Rattus norvegicus: one gene and its partner. The protein of the gene in region 1 binds, or shares a complex with, the protein of each later gene. Links are inferred from orthologs where the notes say so. Each region holds a gene or a part of one and is shown in the gene's direction. Other genes may lie near its edges.

Region 1 (9,886 bases):
TCTTTCTCCACATCCTCGCCAGCATCTGCTGTCACCTGAAGTTTTGATCTTAGCCATTCTGACTGGTGTGAGGTAGAAGTTAAGGTTTGATTTGATTTGCATTTCTCTGATGACTAAGGATGTTGAACATTTCTTTAGGTTCTCCACGACCATTCAGCATTCCTCAGTTGAGAATTCTTTTTTAGCTCTGTACCCCATTTTTTTTATTAACTTGAGTATTTCTTATATACATTTCGAGTGTTATTCCCTTTCCCGGTTTCCGGGCAAACATCCCCCTCCCCCCTCCCCTTCCTTATGGGTGTTCCCCTCCCAACCCTCTCCCCATTGCTGCCCTCCCCCCACCAGTCTAGTTCACTGGGGGTTCAGTCTTAGCAGGACCCAGGGCTTCCCCTTCCACTGGTGCTCTTTCTGTACCCCATTTTTAATAGGGTTATTTGATTCTTTATTATTTGATTGTTATTTCACTGTTTATATAGTGGATTACATTGATGAATTTCTGTATATTGAACCATCCTTGCATCCTTAGGATGAAGCCTAATTGATTATGATGGATGATCGTTTTGATGTGTTCTTGGATTCTGTTTGTGAGCATTTTATTGAGTATTTTTGCATCAATATTCATGAGGGAAATAGGTCTGACGTTCTGTTTCTTTGTTGGGTCTTTGTGTGGTTAAGGTATAAACGTAAGTGTGGCTTTATAGAATGAATTGAGTAGTGTTCCTTCTGTTTCCATTTTGTGGAATAATTCAAAGAGTATTGGTACTAGGTTTTCTTTGAAGGTCTGATAGAATTCTGCACTAGACCCATTCGGTCCCGGGCTTTTTTTGGTTGAGAGACTTATCATGACTGCTTCTATTTCTTTAGGGGTTAAAGGACTGTTTAGATGGTTTATCCGATTGTGATTTAACTTTGGTACCCAGTATCTTTCTAGAAAATTGTTCATTTCATCCGTATTTTCCAGTTTTGTTGAGTATAGGCTTTTGTAGTAGGATCAGATGATTTTTTAATTTCTTCAGTTTCTGTTGTTATATTTCCCTTTTCATTTCTGATTTTGTTAATTTGTATACTGTCTCTGTGCCCTCTGAATAGTCTGTCTAAGGGTTTATCTATCTTGTTGATTTTCTCAAAGAACCAGGTTCTGGTTTTGTTGATTCTTTGTATAGTCCTTTTTTTCCCCCTACTTGGTTGATTTCAGCTCTGAGTTTGATTATTTCCTGCCATCGACTCCCTTTGGGTGTATTTGCTTCTTTTTCTTCTAGAGTTTTTAGGTGTGCTGTCAAACTGCTAGTGTATGTTCTCTCCAGTTTCTTTTTGGAGGCACTCAGAGCTATGCGTTTTCCTCTTAGCACTGACTTCATTGTGTCCAATATGTGTGGTTATGTTGTGCCTCCATTTTTATTAAATTCTAAAAAGTCTTTAATTTTTTATTTCTTCCTTGACCAAGTCATCATTGAGTAGAGCCTTGTTCAGCTTCCATGTGTATATGGACTTCCTGTTGTTTGGTTGTTATTGAAGACCAGCCTTAGTCCGTGGTGGTCTGATAGGATGCATGGGATTATTTCAATCTTCTTGTATCTGTAGGGCTGCTTTGTGACCAATTATATGGTCAATATTGGAGAAGGTTCCTTGAGGCGCTGAGAAGGAGGTGTATTCTTTGTTTTAGGACGAAATGTTCTATAGATATCTGTGAAATCCATTTGGTTCATAACTTCTGTTAGTTTCTCTGTGTCTCTGTTTAGTTTCTGTTTCCATGATCTGTCCATTGCTGAGAGTGGGTGTTGAAGTCTCCCACTATTATTGTGTGAGGTACAATGTGTGCTTTGAGCTTCAGTGAAGTTTCTTTTATGAACGTGGGTGCCCTTGCATTTGGAACATAGATGTTCAGCATTGAGAGTTCATCTTGGTGGATATTTCCTTGACCAGTATGCAGTGTCCTTCCTTATCTTTTTAGATAATCTTTGGTTGAAAATACTTTTTATTTGATTTTAGAAAGGCTACTTCAGCTTGTTTCTTGGGACCATTTACTTGGAAAATGTTTTTCCAGCCTTTTACTCTAAGGTAGCATCTGTCTTTGTCACTGAGTTTCATTTCCTGTATGTATGCAGCAAAATGCTGGGTCCTCTTTACGTATCCAGTCTGTTAGTCTATGTCTTTTTATTGGGGAATTGAGTCCATTAATGTTAAGAGATATTAAGGAAAAGTGATTGTTGCTTCTTGTTATTTTTGTTGTTGTTGTTGTTAGAGGTGGAATTGTGTTTGTGTGGCTATCTTCTTGTTGGTTTGTTAAAAGAAGATTGCTCTTTTGCTTTTTCTAGGGTGTAGTTTCCCTCCTTGTGTTGGAGGGATCATAATTTACATTAAAGTTAGATAAGGGCCAGAATAACATCAAAACATTATTTTTACTATTGTTATTTTTATTGTTATCTTACACATAACATGCCTATTACTTTTGACCTGTATCTTCTTCAGTTATGTTAGTTTAAATTTGTATAAACATTAATTGGTTTTGTGAATGCATCAAACCACAGTCAGGGTCAAGGAAATCTCAGATGTGTAGCCAGGCATGTCTGTTGGGAGGATAGAGGGCCGAGAACTGCCTAAGCAAACACAAAATGGGGTCAGGACAAGAGGGCGTTTGTTACCTTAGTCATTCAAATACAAACATCTATTTATCATTCGAAAGGAATTTAACCTCCTTCAACACAGATGTACTACCTGATTGACTACAATAGTATGATAGCTATTTTTACTTAGATTTTCAAAGACTGAAAAAAAAAGCTGGGTTAGAGATAGTGGTAAGATAGGGTTCTTACCTGTATTGGTGGTAGACATGTGAATGGGGATAGCTTTTAGTATGAATACTATTTTTAAAATATATAACATTTTAAATTAAAGTTGCTCTTTGATTTAGCCATTAGACTTGTCTTAGTTAGGGTTTCTATTGCTTTGATGAAACCTTATGACCAAAGCAAGCTAGGGAGGAAAGGACTTATTTAGCTTACACTTCCACAGCACAGTCCATCCCTGAAGGAAGTCAGGATAGGACCTCAAACAGGGCAGGAACTGGACGCAGGAGCTGATGCAGAGGCCATGGAAGAGTGCTGCTCACTGGCTTCCTCCTCATGGCTTGTTCTTCCTGCTTTCTTACAGAACCCCAGAGTACCAACCCAAGGATAGCCGGGCCCTCCCCAACAATCACTAATTAAGAAAATGTCCTACAAACTTGCCTACAGGCTCACTCCATGGAGGCATTTTCTTAACTGAGGCTCCTTCCTCTCTAATGACTTCAGCTTGTGTCAAGTTGACATAAAATTAGCCACCACAAGACTCAGTAATCGCTCCTATGGGCAAAGCCAGGGAGAGTAAAATGCTGGTCCTGGCCCTTCACTGTAGTACAGCTAATGCTGAGTGAAAAAATCAGCCCAAAATGGGGTATGACCACTGTGCTGACAAAGCACAGTGTTAGTCAGGGGACTTCAAGGTAACAAGCAGGCTATGTATAAACATTCCAAACGGTATCACTCTGACACAGTCCTTCTGCTTCCCCATCCCCTATGTTTGGATCTCTTTGGAGGGCCCAACCTAGAAATCTAGGAGACACTCAAAAGCCCTCCTCCTCTTTCAAACCTCATGTGCTAGTTTTTAAACACATCCCCAATTTACTTTGTAAGCAGTCACTGGTACACTCTTTGGTGCCAAACCTTTTGACCTTCCAAGGTCCGTCTTTGAGCCTCTCACTTTCACTTCTGCAGCGTGCTTCACAGCTATTTAGCACCTAGTCTTGCTACACTTAAAATTCTAGTGCAAACACTCGGCACACCTAGAAAAGTGTGGTAGAAGGCTGTTTTGCCAAATCAAGCTTCTCAAAACAAACCTAGTGGTCTCAGTATTCTGCTGGAAAACTTTGAATGTCTCATAAAGACTTTTTTTTTTTACTCTTGACTTCTTATTCCAAGATAATATAAACGTGAAATTATAAACGTATAAATCCAAGACCAGCCATTTTTGGGGAATTCAATGCCTATTTATTTCAGCCGAAGTTATCCATCCATCCATCCATCCATCCATCCATCCATCCATCCACTCATCTATTCGCATTATTATTTTCTGTCCGTCTCCCTAAGTAAATTCTCTCACCAATATTCTGAGGTGAGAGAATTTGTACTCTTTTTTAGTACATAAGTGCCCGGTACATCAGATGTTTCGTCAGGTCTGGGAGCATGAAGAGCTGGAAGTGAGGAGTGTGGAGGACTTAGCAATGAGAAGGACTCTAACTCTGGTCAAGCCTTCCACCAGGACTTCTGCACCAGCATTTCCTAACGGCTTTAAATCAGATGCTAATGAGGAAGAACCCTATTCCACAGGACCAGGTCACCTACTTCCACTCCTTCCCCTATGTGCACCACATCAGCAGAAAAGAAAGAACACTAGTCCCGACACCACGTGAACCGCCGTTCACGTGAGCGCGGGGAGGCGTGACCCGAGAGAGTCACGTGAGCGTACGCGGTCACGTGAGCGCCGCCACTGCCACCCTGCCTCTGCTTCCTGCTCCATTCCGGACCGATGGAGGAGGAAGATGGGGAAGAACGGGCGCTGCTTGGGGGCCGCCCGGAGGCGGACAGCGCACTCCAGGGCGCCCCTCGCGCTCTGCCCGCGCTCTGCGACCCCAGCCACCTGGCGCACCGGCTTGTGGTGCTTTTGCTGATGTGCCTCCTTGGCTTCGGTGAGCGGGGTTGGGCTAGGGCAGATGATTGAGGGATCTCGGGGTTCGGGTCTCCGGATCCGCGCTGCTGCCGGGGCTTGGGAGCCCGCTTTTTCCAAGCGTCGCGAGGGAGGTGACTTTTGTTCCTGCCAAGCCCCGTAGCACAGCATCTCCTCCATGGGGACGCAGATGAGTAGGAATCTCAGATCTTTCCCCCGGAGCCCTGTGCTCGAGTGTCAGAACGTTGCTCCGGGGAATTTCGGAGCGTGACTAAGTCCCTCTTCCTCCCTCCCCAGGAACCCCTCCCGCCACCCAGTGCTTTCCTTTACATTCTTTTAGAGCTCGGACCCGCTTTGGATAGTGTTCACCGCTCTGAACACCTTCGTAGGATTCTTCACTTACCTTTCCTCTGTGGGGCAGTCCTGCAAGACCACGCTTGTTAAGTTGGTTTCACTTATGAAATCTGATCCCCGGGAGAACACTTTCATTAGACTACCTTCCCTCCTGTGTTACAGTTTTTAGTTTACATTGAAACTGTTCGGATTTATAACCCCTGGCTTGGCTTGAAAGTGTGTTTTCAGGGGTCAGATTCACAAATGCTCCTGGTGTATAAAAGATACTTTGGGCTCTGGTTTCTAGTTTTTTGGGAAGATGGTACCTATTTGCTTTGAAACGTGGTATTATGGGGTTGGGGATTTAGCTCAGTGGTAGAGCACTTGCCTAGCAAGTGCAAAGCCCTGGGTTCGGTCCCCAACTTCAAAAAAAAAAAAAAAAAAAAGAAAGAAAGAAAGAAAAAAGAAACGTGGTATTGAGCTGGTCATGGTGGTACCCTTCTTAATCTCAGTACTGGAAGGCAGAGACCTGAACTCCGGGATCCCTCAATCATTTGCCCTAGCCCAACCAGGCTCATGGAAGCCAAGGAATCCCTGTGAGTTAGAGAGGCCAGCCAGGGTTACAAAGTGAGATCTTGTCTCAACAAACGAACAAACCAACCATGATATTGAATTTCTTATAAGCAGTTAAATCCTAAACCAGAAGTTCCTAGGTTTAGAACCAGTAAGCAAAGACAAAACACTTGAAGAAATTGCCCGTACTCTAGCTCACAGGTTATTTTTGGTAGTTATTTTTGGTAGGTAGATTGGGCTCAATGTTCGGGTTTGAGAAACCAGAGTCCTGCCTCTCTAGCCACCGTCTCCACCTTTGGACTGTAGCTTGGTGTATTTTACTGTCAGCGTGGAAACGGGCAGTGCTAACTTGGGGCCTTAAGTCTGCCGGTTTCCCCCCCACTCCCGTTTCTAATTGCTCAGGAGATGTTGCTATTTTTCATTTGATCCCTTAGACTTGCAGTCGCGTTCTTGTTTCTAGACCGTATTCACTCAGTTATTTGCTCCTGGGTATGATGTTTGTTTGTTTGTTTGTTTGTTCTCTGCTCACAGGATCAGAATTTATTTCAAATACTGGCTTGGTTTGAATAGCTGAATACTGCTTTGGAGTAAAGTGAGAACAGCTATTGTGGCACCCATAGAGGATGCTCGTAGAATTTTTTTTTAAAGTAAGGAAAATGCAGCGATTTCATGAAGATGTTAATACAGGGATAAGCGTGGGAGGAATGAAGGAAACAAGATGATCAAAAGCAGTCGATGTTGACCTCTTAGTCAGGTTTCTGGTATTTGCTGTGTATGCACACCGCTAAATTGTGGAAGGTCTTTCGGGTGGTAGACAAGGAAGTGGTGGGAAACAAGCAAAAAACCTGTTTTCAGTGTCAGCCGTAGTAAACCTTAAACACATGGGGGAGTTCCTAGTCAGGAGTTGTCTGTATCATGTAGACATGATCAATCTGAATGAAATACGTGTGCTCCCTTTTCTAGGCAGCTATTTCTGCTACGACAACCCCGGAGCCCTCCAGACTCAGGTTAAACGGGTGAGTTGGTTCTCCACGTTCTTGTGCGGCTCTGGTTTGGAGCACTGACTCGTAGATGCTGAGACACAGCGGACGCTCAGGGTGCCCCATCTGAGAGGTCCGCTTTCTCCTCTAGTGTCTGTTATCACCAGACCCACAAGCTGCAGAGATCAAATTTGCTTCCCTAAAGAACTCATGAGTAACATATGCATGACTTGAGATGGCTTTATTCTCTAGGTAGATACTTATGGACTGGGCCCACAATGTCACCAGAAATGCTAGTTTTGGTAGGAATTTTACACCATGAGTGAATGAACCATGAGTGAATGGTGGGACAGCTTTGGCCTTCTTAGATAAACTTTGCTATTATTTACTTTTATAAATATGGATACTGGCTGCTGGGTATTGGCCCTATTTGCATTCTTGTCTGGTTTTGAATTGTAAAATTATATTTGATATTTGTTGTTTCTTGGTCATTTAGACCATTGTCATGTGCATTTTTTTTAAGCCATTAGGCAGAGAAAAAATGCACAGGCTGCCCTTTGCATTCTAGTAGGAGTTAAGGAGGGTAGCATCTATAAGATCAGGCAACAATGATTATTTTCTGTTTGGGAGGCGTCCATAATGCAGACAGAAAGGAAGAAGGAAGAACGTAGGTGATAGAAAAGGACCGAGCTGGCTTCCCTACCAGTGACAGGTCCTGCAGTCCACAAGGCCCAGGGATAGTATGTGGAAGTAAGATGTCCCCAGGTATGGCTGTTATTCTAAGGGCAAGGGTTGTAACTTTCAGAGTCTCAAGGAAGTAAACAGTTCACAAATGGTTAAGAAACTTGCCCTATACAGAAACACGGCTGTTGCCATGTTTTGCTTTGATTTGTTAATTGCAGAAACTGTATGGGAAAACTTTTTTTTTTCTCCCTATCTAGGACATGCAAGTGAATACCACGAAATTCATGCTGCTGTACGCCTGGTATTCTTGGCCCAATGTAATTTTGTGTTTCTTGGGTGGCTTTCTGATAGACCGCATATTTGGAATAAGGTAAGCTTGCAAAAAAGTGCTGGTTATTAGAATGCAGGAATGGGTTGAAGTTTTTCTTCAAAGAACTGAATAGACTTGTGAATTGACATCTGATGGACATGAAGATTTGGTTTTTGTTTTTTAAGGTTGGTTTTGGCTCTAGACTTGATCCTTGAAGCCTGGTTGGTTTATTAATTAGGGTCAGGCCTAGTAGATGCTGCTGATGGAGTAAGGTCATCAGTTTTCTGGGGTAAATTATGCTCTTAAATTGGGTTAGACGAACATGTGTGAGTTGTCGCTTGGTCAAGTCCCTGTTATGCTAACACTTAGCGCTTCCTAAGCTTCTGCTTCCTCCCTGCTCAGTAGGGGCATTGACTCCCACCTTATGAGCTTCTAGGGATTAAATGAGAGATGGAGTTGTAAAGTCTTTGCACATAGGTGGAGAGTCATCCCTCAGCTCTGTTAAGACTCAAGACTTTCCCCCTCTATGTCTGCCTGTCTTTGGCCATTGAACTTTTTGTGGCCCTGGTCATTAGGCGCTGAAGAGGAATGGTTCCATGCGCTTTGTCACTTTTCCCCTTTCTCATTGGCTGTGTTTGAACGGAGGCTTAGGGAACATCAGCTGGGGCTTCCCTCAGAGGGCAGAAGTGGAGCTGCGGAGTGGTTTTAACTGTTTCCTTACTGGGTAAGGGTTGAAACACCCTGGTGTGTTTAGGTTTGGGGGTTTGCTTTTAAGAACCTCAAACAGTTGAGTATTAAGGAAGTGCTTAGATTTTACTGGGTCTGAAGGGATAGAATTAGCTGATTTTTTAGGAAAACTAATTCCACTTATACGGCGGAGGAACTGCTTTTCACAGGGGTTATATAAACCTTCTTGGGACATTGACTTTCCCAGTTTTAGAGAATATTCGGGCCATGATTGTCCAAGGGTTCTGAGTGAATTTTAGTTTCAGAAATGCAGTTGGCTCTGATGACTTTTGAAGTCTTCTAATCCCACTTTGTGGCTCTGGTGAAATATTAATAGACTGTAGTTGGACCTGTAACTCCACTAACTTGGCGTAGAAATGCCTTCTAAAAGTAGGTTTTAGTTACCAAGGACTATAGCTGACTTAAAATTATCTACTGTAGATTTTCCTGGAATCAGTTCTAAATGAGTAAAATGAAGATTTATTTTTGTGCACGCACTGTGTGTGGCGTTGCTCCCAGGGGCCAGCTCAGGAGTCCGATCTCAGAAGCTGGAGTCACAGGCGGTGGTGAGCTGCCTCTTCAAGCCCAGGGGTGACCCTGGGCCCTCTTCAAGAGTAGTGCATGGTCTTAACTACTGAGTGTTCTTACTAGCCTCCTGCCCTACACCCTAAGTAGGAATTTAATAGAGGAGTTCCATTATTTCTAAATGAGAACTTGGGGAAGATCATTTACGTTTTAAGAGGTAATAATTGGTAAATGAACGTGTGCCGTTGCGGAACCTCGGGAATCCTGTCAGAACTTAATGTTAGTTAATGGATCTGGAAGGTTGCAAATGAGTGGTCACCTTCCTTGGATGCAGAGTGGGCAAAGAAAACCCAAGCTGGTTATTAGTACAGGACTCTGGTTACCAGCAATAATGTGAAGAAATGACATTTTCTCTCTCACACAGATGGGGCACAGTTATTTTTAGCTGCTTTGTTTGCATCGGACAGGTAAGAAAAGCCCAAATATTTACTCATTACTTGACAATAACTTTGCAGTCTTATTTAATTAATTCCCTTAGCAAAAATATGCTGAATGAATGAATGGATTTGTTTGTCAATTACTCAGGCCCGTGAATGGCCACGTGGTATCATTCATTTTAAGCCTTAAATTACATTGTCTTAGTCACCTCCTCATTGCTCTGACTGGCAGAAGCCACTTAGGAAGGAGAAGGGTTTGTTCCAGCCCACTGCTTGAGGGGAGGCATGGTGGCCGGAGCCATGACTCCGGCCGTCAGGAAACAGGAAGTGGCGGGTGCATGCTCAGTTCAATTTCTTTTTTATGCTGCTCAGCCCATAGAATGGTGCCACGCACGCTGGGGTGGGTCTTTGCACGTGGGTTAACCTAACCCAAAAGATTCCTCGCAGATATGCTGGAGGCTTGCCTCCTGGTGACTAGAAGTCCTGCTAAATGCATGAACATTCTTATTTTAATTTCTTGGATTTATTAGTGCGGGCTAGTGAAAGTGACGTGGAAATGAGGATTTGTCTTGTTATTTACTCTGTTTAAATATCCTGTTTTATTTTTATTACTATTC
Region 2 (9,909 bases), about 22 Mb from region 1:
CGGGTGAGTTCTTTTCTATACCCATTCCTTGCTGAGGTAAGGAAAGCTGTTTTCACCCTAAGGGAAAAAAATTTTTTCTGACAGGATGTTTATACTCATAAGTGCACATACCCTTAAGTTCATGCACACTTGTGTGGGTTGTATGTGTAGGCCAGAGGTCAACCTTTGGTGTCCTTCCCCAGTAGCCATCAACCTTAACTTTACCCCTTTGCTTTTCTTATCGCTCGTTCCTTCAAATCTTGTAGTCTGCCTTTTTTGCTGTCAGTTTTTAGTGGTTTGGTTTTGTCTGTTCTCTGACACAACATCCTTCATTGTACTCTCCCTGCCCGTATTTATTCCACCTGCAGGCCAAGCACACACAGGAGAATTGTGAGACCTGGGGTGTGAATGGTGAGACTGGTACCTTAGTGGACATGAAAGAGCTGGGTATTTGGGAGCCATTGGCTGTGAAGCTACAAACATACAAAACAGCAGTGGAGGTAAGACGCCATACGTCATTTCTGTCCAGATAACCAGCTTCTGAGATTTGTCTAAAAGGAAGGGCCATAAAAAGGCAGTGTTCCCCAAAGGTCTCCCAAGGAACTCTACTCCCTACTTACCTTTAGCTTATACAGAAGCAGCGTAACAGGGGACAAGTTATATCCCTTGCTTAGGTAGAGCTTCATTGTTCATTCGAGACTCTGAAGAGGAAGATCCCAGATAAAATGGTAATTCTGTGGGAGGAGCCAGGAGAAAGCTAAAAGTAAACGGTGTCTTTCTCTTCTCTGCTGACCTGTTTTTCTTTTAGACTGCAGTTCTGCTTCTGCGGATTGATGACATTGTCTCTGGCCACAAGAAGAAGGGTGATGACCAGAACCGGCAAACCGGTGCTCCAGATGCTGGCCAGGAGTGAGTGCTAAGCAAGGTGACTGAACCACAGAACCAGCAGTCTCCCCTTTCCTGAGCCAGAGTTCCAGGAACACTGTGGACATCTTTGTTTGCAAAGGATCAGGTTGAGGGGCAGCCCCCAGTCTGTCCCATCTCGGTTTGCAAAAAGCACTGACGTGTATCTCTTCTGTTGTAAGCTTCCATTCAGTTTGCTTCCAGTGATTAAATCTAAGTCATTTGAGACAGTTGTCATGTGTTTTTCAACCTTGGGTCACATCTCTACCTCCTAACAATGGAAAAGGAGGTAGAAGACTTTACTGGGAGGAAAGGAGACAAGTCACTATTCGCTGACTTGCACACACACAAACACATACATCCCACAGCCTTTTTTAAGACTAGGTCTCACTGTGACTGTGTAGACCTGGGCGTGGTGTTTCTACTGCCTCTGCCCCCAGGGTACTCTTGAGTACTGGTTGGTATCAGAGATTTTAAAAGGACTGTTCCGCCACACGCCACACGTGGTTTGGTGAGTTTTTTGAATCAAATTAATCCCTCACAGTTGTGCCTTGAGAGACACCCCTGCCCCTAGCTCATTCCTTCCTCACTGACCCTCACAGCTACATAGCCAGTAGGAGACAAGCCTGTGCTGCACTTGTCTCAAGGACAAAGTATATACAGAGCCAGTGAGGTTCAGTGGGCAAAAGTGCTTGCCGTTAAAGCCAATGGCATTCAGTCCTCAGTTTCCATAGTGGATGAAGAAGAGGTTCCCAAAAGTTGTCCATTGACCTCATCAATGTCCACAGTGTGGCACATGCATTCGTAGACATTACACAAAAGCAAGGGAGCCCAGCTTCAGGAGGCTGAGGTGGGAGTCTCCCTTTATCTAAAGCCAGACTGGACTACAAAGAAATGTCTGTCTCAGTGTATAAGATCTTTTGCTCTCCCAGAAGAAGCAAGTTCAATTCCTAGCATCTACACTTGGTAGCTCATTGTTACCTCCAGCTCCAGGGGACCCAAGTCCCTCTTTTAGCCTTCTGAGCTACCCCTACAGATGTTGAATACACATAAAAATATCAGATCCCATCCTGGTCTATATAGGCTGATCCAGGCTAACCAGGGCTACATATTTTTTTTTAATAGGGGCCTATGATCCCAGTTTGGCAATTTCAAGGATATAGAAATAGGTTCTCAAGTGTGAATATAAATTGATAAATCTCAGAGGTAAACATGATCTAGCCAGTGAGAGCCAGGCATGTTGGTGCACACCTTTAAACCCAGCACTTGGCTAAGTTGCACAGAGTGAGTTCCAGGGCTGCACCGAAACCCAGTCTCCAAGTGCATTTGTGTGTCCCTGTGTGTGTATGGAGCGGAGATGGTTCAGTGCTCTTCGAAAGGACCCAGATCCAGTTCCCAGCACTCACTGTAGTTTACAGTTCCATGGAATCTGATACCCTCTTCTGGTTTCTTTAGGTATCCAAATACATTCTTAGATACAGACACAAACTTTTTTTAAAAGTTTAATACATTTACAAGACATTCAGCAGGTGGTTCGAGGAGACGTACCTTCCCCCTTAGACCATGGCCAAGTCATCTGTAACTTTGAGGAGAAGCCACTGTCGATGGTGGCCACTGCCGTGACTTACTTGAAGCCTTGATTGGCCACATTTTGGCACTACGCCAAGGTTGAGCTGGTTCCCCTAATCCCTGGTAAAATCCCTACAGCTATTCAGAGTGTGAAAAAAAAAAATAATTGGAAGTGCTAAGACTGGTAGCTTCAAACACCTTACAGTGAAGGAAGCTGTGCTGAATGGGTTGGTGGCCACTGAAGTGTGGATATGTTCTTATATCAGAGAGATCATAGTCAAATGTGGCATTGTTGGCTATGAGGTTTGAAGACTAATCTTTAACTTCCAATTTGAGATCTTATTTGAATGTTCTTGGACTATGTATGATGAGACTGCTATCTGAATAAAATACTAGCTGTGGAAAAAAAAATACATGTACTGGTTGCTCCTCCCTCAATTCCCACCACTTAGGTGGTTCACAACCTTTTGTAATTTGTAATTCCAGCAATTAGAAGGCTATGAATATATAGTAAATTCTAAGACAGCCAGGGTCACATGTAAAACCTTGTTTCAAAAACAAAAACTGGCCTATGTGGTGTGTCTTTAATCCCAGCACTGTGGAGGCAGTGGCAGACAGATCAAGGACAGCCTGGTCTACAGAACATGTTCCAGGATAGGGCTATGCAGAGAAACCTTGTCTCTGAGTAGGTTGGAGATAACAAGCTCTGAAAGCACTTGCTTAACGTTCTCATGTAGGCCTGATTTTTTTTTTTTAAAACAAGGTCTATGTAATTCTGGTTAGCTAGGATTAAAGGCTTGTGACAGGACACCTGGTTCAAATTTGTACTGCGTTATTAGTCTAACAATTAAGATTTAAGTTGGAGCTGGAGAAAATACTCAGTAATTAAGAGCACTGACCCAGAGGACCCAAGGTTTGATTTCCAGCATCTACATGGCAGCTCACAGCCATCTGTAACGACAGCCTCAGAGGATCTGACTTCCTTTTCTGGTCTCTGAGGTCACCAGGCACAGACAGACATGCAGGCAAATACCTTTCAAGTAAAGTAAGATTTTTAGGAAAAACTGGCTGATTGTGGTGCTCATGCCTTTAATTCCAGCACACAGGAGCTAGAGGAAGGCAGGTGGATAATGAGACCCTGGCTCAAAGATTCCAGCAGAAGGAGCATGCATCTAGTCAAGTTTGGCTAATTGTGTTCCTTTTTATTTGTGGTAACTTCACAGTAAAATTGTGAGCTCTTCCAGTAAGAAAGCCTACCTACCTCGTAATCCAATAAATACTACGATGTCATCAAAAGGAGCCCTCTAGGGTATTTCCATTACATGGTGTGTGTGTGTGTGTGTGTGTGTGTGTGTGTGTGTGTGTGTGTGTGTGTGTGTGTGTGTGACTTTGAGTTGGTTCTCTTGCCACCATGTAGGTCCTTGGGGCTGAACACAGGTCATCAGGCTTGTTTATGAAATGCATTTACCTGCTGAGCATCTCACATGCCCCAGACCTTGAATTTCTGACCCTCCTCCTCCCACCTCCTGGCTGGGATTAGGGTGTCTTGGCCCCCATAACCTGTGTTATATGGTGGTATGCTGGAGATTAAATCCAAGATGTCGTATGCTAAGCATGCACCCCACCAACTGAGCTACATCCCTAGCCCTTTTGGGTTTTATTTCTTTTTTTTTTAAGTAATTTTTTTATTTCTTTTTTTTTTAAAGATTTATTCATTATATTATATATAAGTACACTGTAGCTGTCTTCAGATACACCAGAAGAGGGCATTGGATCTCTTTACAGATGGTTGTGAGCCACCATGTGGTTGCTGGGAATTGAACTCAGGACCTCTGGAAGAGCAGTCGGGTGCTCTTAACCGCTGAGCCATCTCTCCAGCCCCTTTATTTCTTTTTTAAAGGCAGTTTTTCACTCTACCTGGAGTTGGCTCTATAATCCTCAAATTCATAGTGCTCCTCCTACCTCAGTCTTTCAAAAGCTGGGATTGCAGAAGCAAGCCTCCATTCCTGTCTTGGTTCTGTTTTCTGAGACCACCCTGCCTGAGGATCTTTGATTATTCTTTTACATTTTATTTTATTTGTTTCATGTGAGCAGTGCCTCAGGATGCATGTATAAATCAGAGTACAGCTTCTGGGAGTCATTTTTCTCCTCCCACCATGTTGGTCTTGAATATACAACTCAAGTCCAGTTTGGGGCAAACACATTTACTGAGCCATCTTGCTGACCTCCAAGGGTTCTTTTATTATCAATCTAGTACTCCAGTTCCTCTCCCTATCTTTCTACCACAGAGCAGTAACATACAGATTTACTCTGTGGAAATTTAAATCTGGGCATACTCACCAGAGGTGATGTGGCTGGGACTGGCAGGAGGAGAGGCAGGAGTATGTTTGCACAGCTGGTCTAGAATCTCTTGCAGGTCAACCTGTTGATGATAAACTACCTCAGCTTTCCTGATGCTATTCCAACTTTTGCTGAGATCCAGGTTAATGGAAGCGGTCCCTTTAAGAACTGGTTTGGTGGCCCGCCCTCTAAAAGGATCAGCAGGAAGGGAGTCATGTGACTCTGAGGCTCTTCCGCTGAGTTTAGCTAGCTGTGGCTGTATGTTACGCTGTTGGGGACCTCACTGGGGCTGGGTCCCCTGGGCCCCAACCCCATGGCTCCTTTTGAGTCTACTTGTGTGTACAGTTCCATTTGGCCTGCTAGGAGAAGAGACTCGCCAGGTAAGGGCTCTGGAACTAAAGTAATAGATGTTTCCGGAAATCCTATCTTTCTAGGATGACCTGAATCTGGGGCAACAGAGGGGTGGAAGACAAGGGAGAAGTTTCAACCCAGTGTGGAGCCATGAGTGATTGGAAGGATTGGGGGGATGGGGGTGTCAGATCAAGCATAACTGCTTCTGCTTTCTGACAGTGGTTCAGACATTGTAGCCCAGGAACAGGCAAGTTTGGGGACTTAAAAAGCCTTTTCAGCCCTAAGCCCTCTGAGTAATCCTGGCTCCACCCTATCTTCTCAATCTTACATCTGCCCCTGATTCCAAGTTTCCCTCAGTTTCTACACTTCCCTCATGCCTGGTCCTCAAGTGCCCAACTTGCCATTCCTGGCATTACCCAGGTCCTGCCCTCCACCCACAAGCTGCTTCTTTGCCTGTGAGCATCCCTGATCTTGTTCTTTCTGCCCCACTACCCCATGTTTCAGGTATCTATGGAAGTTATTTCTGGCTGGCCAAATCCCCAGAACCTGCTTCATATCCGGGCAGTGGGCAGCAACTCTACCCTGCACTATGTGTGGAGCAGCCTGGGGCCTCCAGCTGTGGTGCTGGTGGCCACCAACACCACTCAGAGTGTCCTGAATGTCAACTGGAGTCTCCTGCTGTCTCCTGATCCTGCTGGGGCCCTGATGGTGCTCCCCAAGAACAGCATTCAGTTTTCTTCCGCTCTTGTCTTCACCAGGGTGAGAGGGTCTGAAGGAGCTCAGAGAGAAGAGCACAAGAAGAGAGTCCATCCTACCCCAAGGGCTAGGGAAGGGCTTAGCACAGGGTGGGTGACGTGAATGCAGCTTTAGGTGGGGTGGACTGGGAGGAAAACTCAAGAGAAAGCCAGAAGGCAAGTCTCTTCCACTCTGCCCTGTCCAGCTGCTTGAGTTTGACAGCACCAATGTGTCAGAGGGGACACAGCCCCCAGGAAAGCCATACCCTCCGTACTCCTTGGCCAAGTTCTCCTGGAACAATGTCACCAACTCATTGGATCTTGCCACCCTGAGTGCCATCTTTCGAGGCCACCCTGTAGATGACCCTACTGGAGCATTTGCCAATGGCAGCCTGACCTTCAAGGTGAGGATCTGGGGACAGCTGACTGATGGGTATGGGAGTATCCCTCGAGCTCCATTCTCCCCACTCGGCTTCCTTCTCCTTCCTAGGTCCAGGCCTTTTCTAGATCTGGTCGACCTGCCCAGCCCCCTCGCCTCCTGCACACAGCCGATGTCTGCCAGGTAGAAGTGGCCCTGGTTGGAGCTTCTCCTCGTGGAAACCACTCCCTATTTGGTCTAGAGGTAGCCACCTTGGGACAGGGCCCCGACTGCCCCTCAGTGAACGAACAGGACTCCATCGATGATGAGTACGCACCTGCTGTCTTCCAGGTCAGGGTTCCATGGGACAGAGATGGGTGGGAATGTAAAGTGGGGTCCCTCCCGCTAGCAGCCCAGAAAATCCACCAACCACTTACTGTTTTTTTAAAAAAAGATTTGTGGGCTGGGGATTTAGCTCAGTGGTAGAGCACTTACCTAGGAAGCGCAAGGCCCTGGGTTTGGTCCCCAGCTCCGAAAAAAAGAACCAAAAAAAAAAAAAAAAGATTTGTGTTTGTTTGGGTTTTTTGAAGGATTTCTTTATTTTTATTTTATGTGCATGTATGTCTGGGAAGGTGCCAGATCCCCTGGAACTGGAGTTACAGACATGTGAGCTGCCCTATGGGTGCTGGGATTTAAACCCAGGTCCTCTAGAAACACAGCCAGTGCTCTTAACTGCTGAGCCATCTCTCCAGCCCCAAAAGATTTGTCTTTTTATGTGTGTGTATTTGGGTGCATGTGTGTATAGGTTCCTAGGATGCGAGAGGAGGGTTTGAGATACCCTGGAACTGGAATTACAAATGGTTGAGTCTCCTGACACGAGTACCAGGAACTGAATTGGGTTTTCTACTAGAGCAGCAAGCTCTCAGCATTGAGCCATCACTAAAGCCACAGCCACCACCCGTTTTTAAAAGGGTTGTTGGTTTTTGTGTGTTTGTTGAGACAGGGTCTCCCCGCGTGTCCCTGAGACAATGTATCTCTGACTGGCAGACCTAGAACTCTTACTATGTAGACCAGGCTGTCCTTGAACTCAGAAAGACTCGTCTGCTTCTGCCTCCTGAGAGCTGGGATTAAATGCATGCACCACTACCTATGGTCCCAGTTTCTTATTTATCAACACTTTCTCTGGCTCCTTTTAATGTTGGGTTCTAGTTTGTTGCCTGCCATCTCCACCCTCCAAGGAAGCAGACAAAACCAGTGCTTCACAGATCCTCGCTGGGATTCTCCTTAACCTGGGGCTCAGAGAGCGCGAGCACTGAATGATCACAGCTCTGTTCATCCCGCTTTCTCTCTGTGGAGGAGAGACCGGCCTCCTACATCTAGCATGTCAATTCTACAACTACACTTAGTCCTGGGGACGCTTGGTCACCTCCTGCCTGTACTACTGAGATGCATTCTGAGAGACGTGGGGAAACAAAAGGATTGCTGCAGGTTGGTCCGCCTCACCCTGCCTCTTTTGCTTTTCTCTCCAGCTGAACCGGTTGCTGTGGGGCTCTTCACCGTCTGGCTTCATGCAATGGCGGCCAGTGGCTTTCTCTCAGGAGCAGCGGGCCCGAGAATCTGCCCTCGCCTGCCAGGCTTCTGCTCTTCACCCCACCTTGGCATATCCTCTCCCTCATTCACCAATTGTTCAAGCCTTCTTTGGGTCCCAGAACAACTTCTGTGCCTTCAACCTGACCTTTGGGGCTCCCACAGGCCCTGGCTACTGGGATCAACACTACCTTTGCTGGTAAGAAGCAAGGGTTTGGTCAAAGTGGAGAAAGGCTGAACTGCTCAGCCTGCCCTCCTAAATTTGCTTACCTTTTTTTTTTTAAACCTTCTCGTTCTAGGTCAATGCTTCTGGGCATAGGCTTCCCTCCAGTAGATTCCTTCTCTCCACTAGTCCTCGGAATCATGGCGGTAGCCCTGGGAGCTCCAGGACTCATGTTTCTCGGGGGAGGCCTATTTCTGCTGCTGCGCCACAAGCAGTATTCTGAGTACCAGTCCATAAATTGAAGCCTACTCTCCAGAGGGACGGGCAGAACCACATCCTCTGCCTTGCTGTGCCTCAAACTGTCAGAAGCTGGAGTGCCAGTGCTGTGATCTGCTTCTCTGCAGAACCTCAGAAGCCAGCCTCAACCTACTGGGGGGCTCCCAGTAAGTTGTCCTTCCGAACCCACGGGAAGGCTACGATTACTGGTCCCCCACATTCCCATTTCCTGTGGATGAAACTTGAAGGCCTACATGAGAGTGACTGTTGGCTGCCCTAGGGGACATGAAATAGACAATTTCCCCATACAAGATTCCAGTCTCACTCTGATTTTTAAATTAGATTTATGTATTTTATTATATTTGTGAGTCTTTTGTTTGTATGGATGTGCAGTGTGGCGGTCGGGGAACTGCCTGCAGAGGTCAGAAGAGGGCACTAGATCCCACGGAACTGTAAACCACCGTGCGGGTGCTGGGGAAATTGAACCAGAGTCCTTTGCAAGAGCAGCAAGTACTCTTACCAGCTGAGCCATCTCTCTAGCCCAGGTTTCCATCTTTTAATGTGTGAGTGCTGCTGGGCCGGTTTGGGGTGGTTCCAACAAAAGGGAAGACTGAGGGAAAGGATTGAAAGGTAGTTTCTCTTTGAGGGCCTGTTTTCTCACCAGTCCTAGTGGTCTCTCCCCAAGGCTCCCCCTTGGTGCTAGGAGGTAGCTTATGCCTGGGGGAGGTGGAGAAGGAAGCAGAAAGAAAGAGTCACAAGAGAGTGGCAGTGATTTATTGCATACTCACATATACATACAGGCTGACGGCCACCCTGCCTTCCTAGCCACCATGTGAGTACAAACACAGTTCTTCTGGAGGTTTTATCTCTATGCCCTTCCCCCTACAGTGGGACTTCTTGGAAGTCTGAAAAGTGGAAGGTCACAGAGACCCATGTAGTTGGGAGAGAGAAGACAACAACTATGTATGTCTTGACTGAGGCAAAAGAGTCTTGAGGCCAGTGGTAATCGAGTCCTGAACCCAAGGTCCTCCAGAAAGGTTTTCACCAACTATCTGATATGACATCAACTTTACCCTTGGGTGTGGGCAGTTTTTCCTTCTCCTTGACTCTCTTCTAGATGGCTGGCACAGACAGTCAGGTGGGGCTGTGGTTCTGCACTCCTGACCCACAAGAAGCTAGGGAGTAAGATAACCATCCAGCCATAGCTCCTGGGTCATGGTAGGAAGCTGCCCAAGAAGGAAGTGTGTTTCTCCAGTCTCCCTTGGGCTCTTGTCCTCTCGGGTAAAGCAGGAGCTAGGAGAAAACAGGGGTATGGGGCCCCAGTGGGGAAGTAGCAAGGTTCCTTGCAACAAATGTCCATTGGCTGGGCAGAAGCCAGGTCTGCAACTGTTCCAGGGAAATGCCGAAAACCCCCTGCACAGCTCTGGGTGGCTCAGCCCCATGAGCGGGGCCTGTAGTCAGAAACAGACCGGACATGGTCGGGGTAGTCCAAGCGGCTCTCGGAGGCACTGAGCATGCGCTCTGGCTCCACCACGAACATGTAATAGAGGTTCCACACCAGCATGGCCAAGAGCGGCAGGAAAGTCAGGCCGTAGCCAAAGCCTCGGAAGGAGCGGCCCACAGCAAAGGTCAGCCAGTATATCAGCCTG

What was found. The genes of interacting proteins can lie anywhere in the genome.
Region 2: the proteins of Mfsd1 (region 1) and Glmp are in contact, whole or in part, in a cryo-EM structure (PDB 8R8Q), measured with the Mus musculus proteins. The link is inferred for Rattus norvegicus from reciprocal best matches to the Homo sapiens genes MFSD1 and GLMP. Residues at the interface, in NP_080089.1 of Mus musculus: Val288, Glu292, Lys293, Arg295, Phe349, Phe351, Leu411, Asp412, Lys414, Gly415, Tyr416, Leu417, Leu418, Val421, Ile424, Ser428, Leu432, Val435, Leu439; in NP_064387.1 of Mus musculus: Glu250, Asn252, Ser253, Ile254, Asp255, Asp256, Glu257, Pro260, Ala261, Phe263, Gln264, Arg292, Phe364, Leu367, Val368, Ile371, Met372, Ala375, Ala378, Leu381, Met382, Gly385, Phe389.

The regions. Positions count from the first base shown.
Region 1 is NC_086020.1:154,151,667-154,161,552, forward strand, and holds the start of Mfsd1 (major facilitator superfamily domain-containing protein 1), read left to right. Parts: upstream 1-4,537; 5' UTR 4,538-4,563; coding exon 4,564-4,723; intron 4,724-6,570; coding exon 6,571-6,623; intron 6,624-7,528; coding exon 7,529-7,641; intron 7,642-9,256; coding exon 9,257-9,299; intron 9,300-9,886. UniProt on the Homo sapiens protein: Lysosomal dipeptide uniporter that selectively exports lysine, arginine or histidine-containing dipeptides with a net positive charge from the lysosome lumen into the cytosol.
Region 2 is NC_086020.1:176,087,073-176,096,981, forward strand, and holds Glmp (glycosylated lysosomal membrane protein precursor), read left to right. Parts: upstream 1-5,025; 5' UTR 5,026-5,051; coding exon 5,052-5,171; intron 5,172-5,646; coding exon 5,647-5,901; intron 5,902-6,082; coding exon 6,083-6,280; intron 6,281-6,366; coding exon 6,367-6,585; intron 6,586-7,763; coding exon 7,764-8,020; intron 8,021-8,120; coding exon 8,121-8,286; 3' UTR 8,287-8,616; downstream 8,617-9,909. Other genes in the region: Cct3 (T-complex protein 1 subunit gamma), read left to right, coding at 1-3, 348-479, 788-892; Tmem79 (transmembrane protein 79), read right to left, coding at 9,693-9,906. UniProt on the Homo sapiens protein: Required to protect lysosomal transporter MFSD1 from lysosomal proteolysis and for MFSD1 lysosomal localization.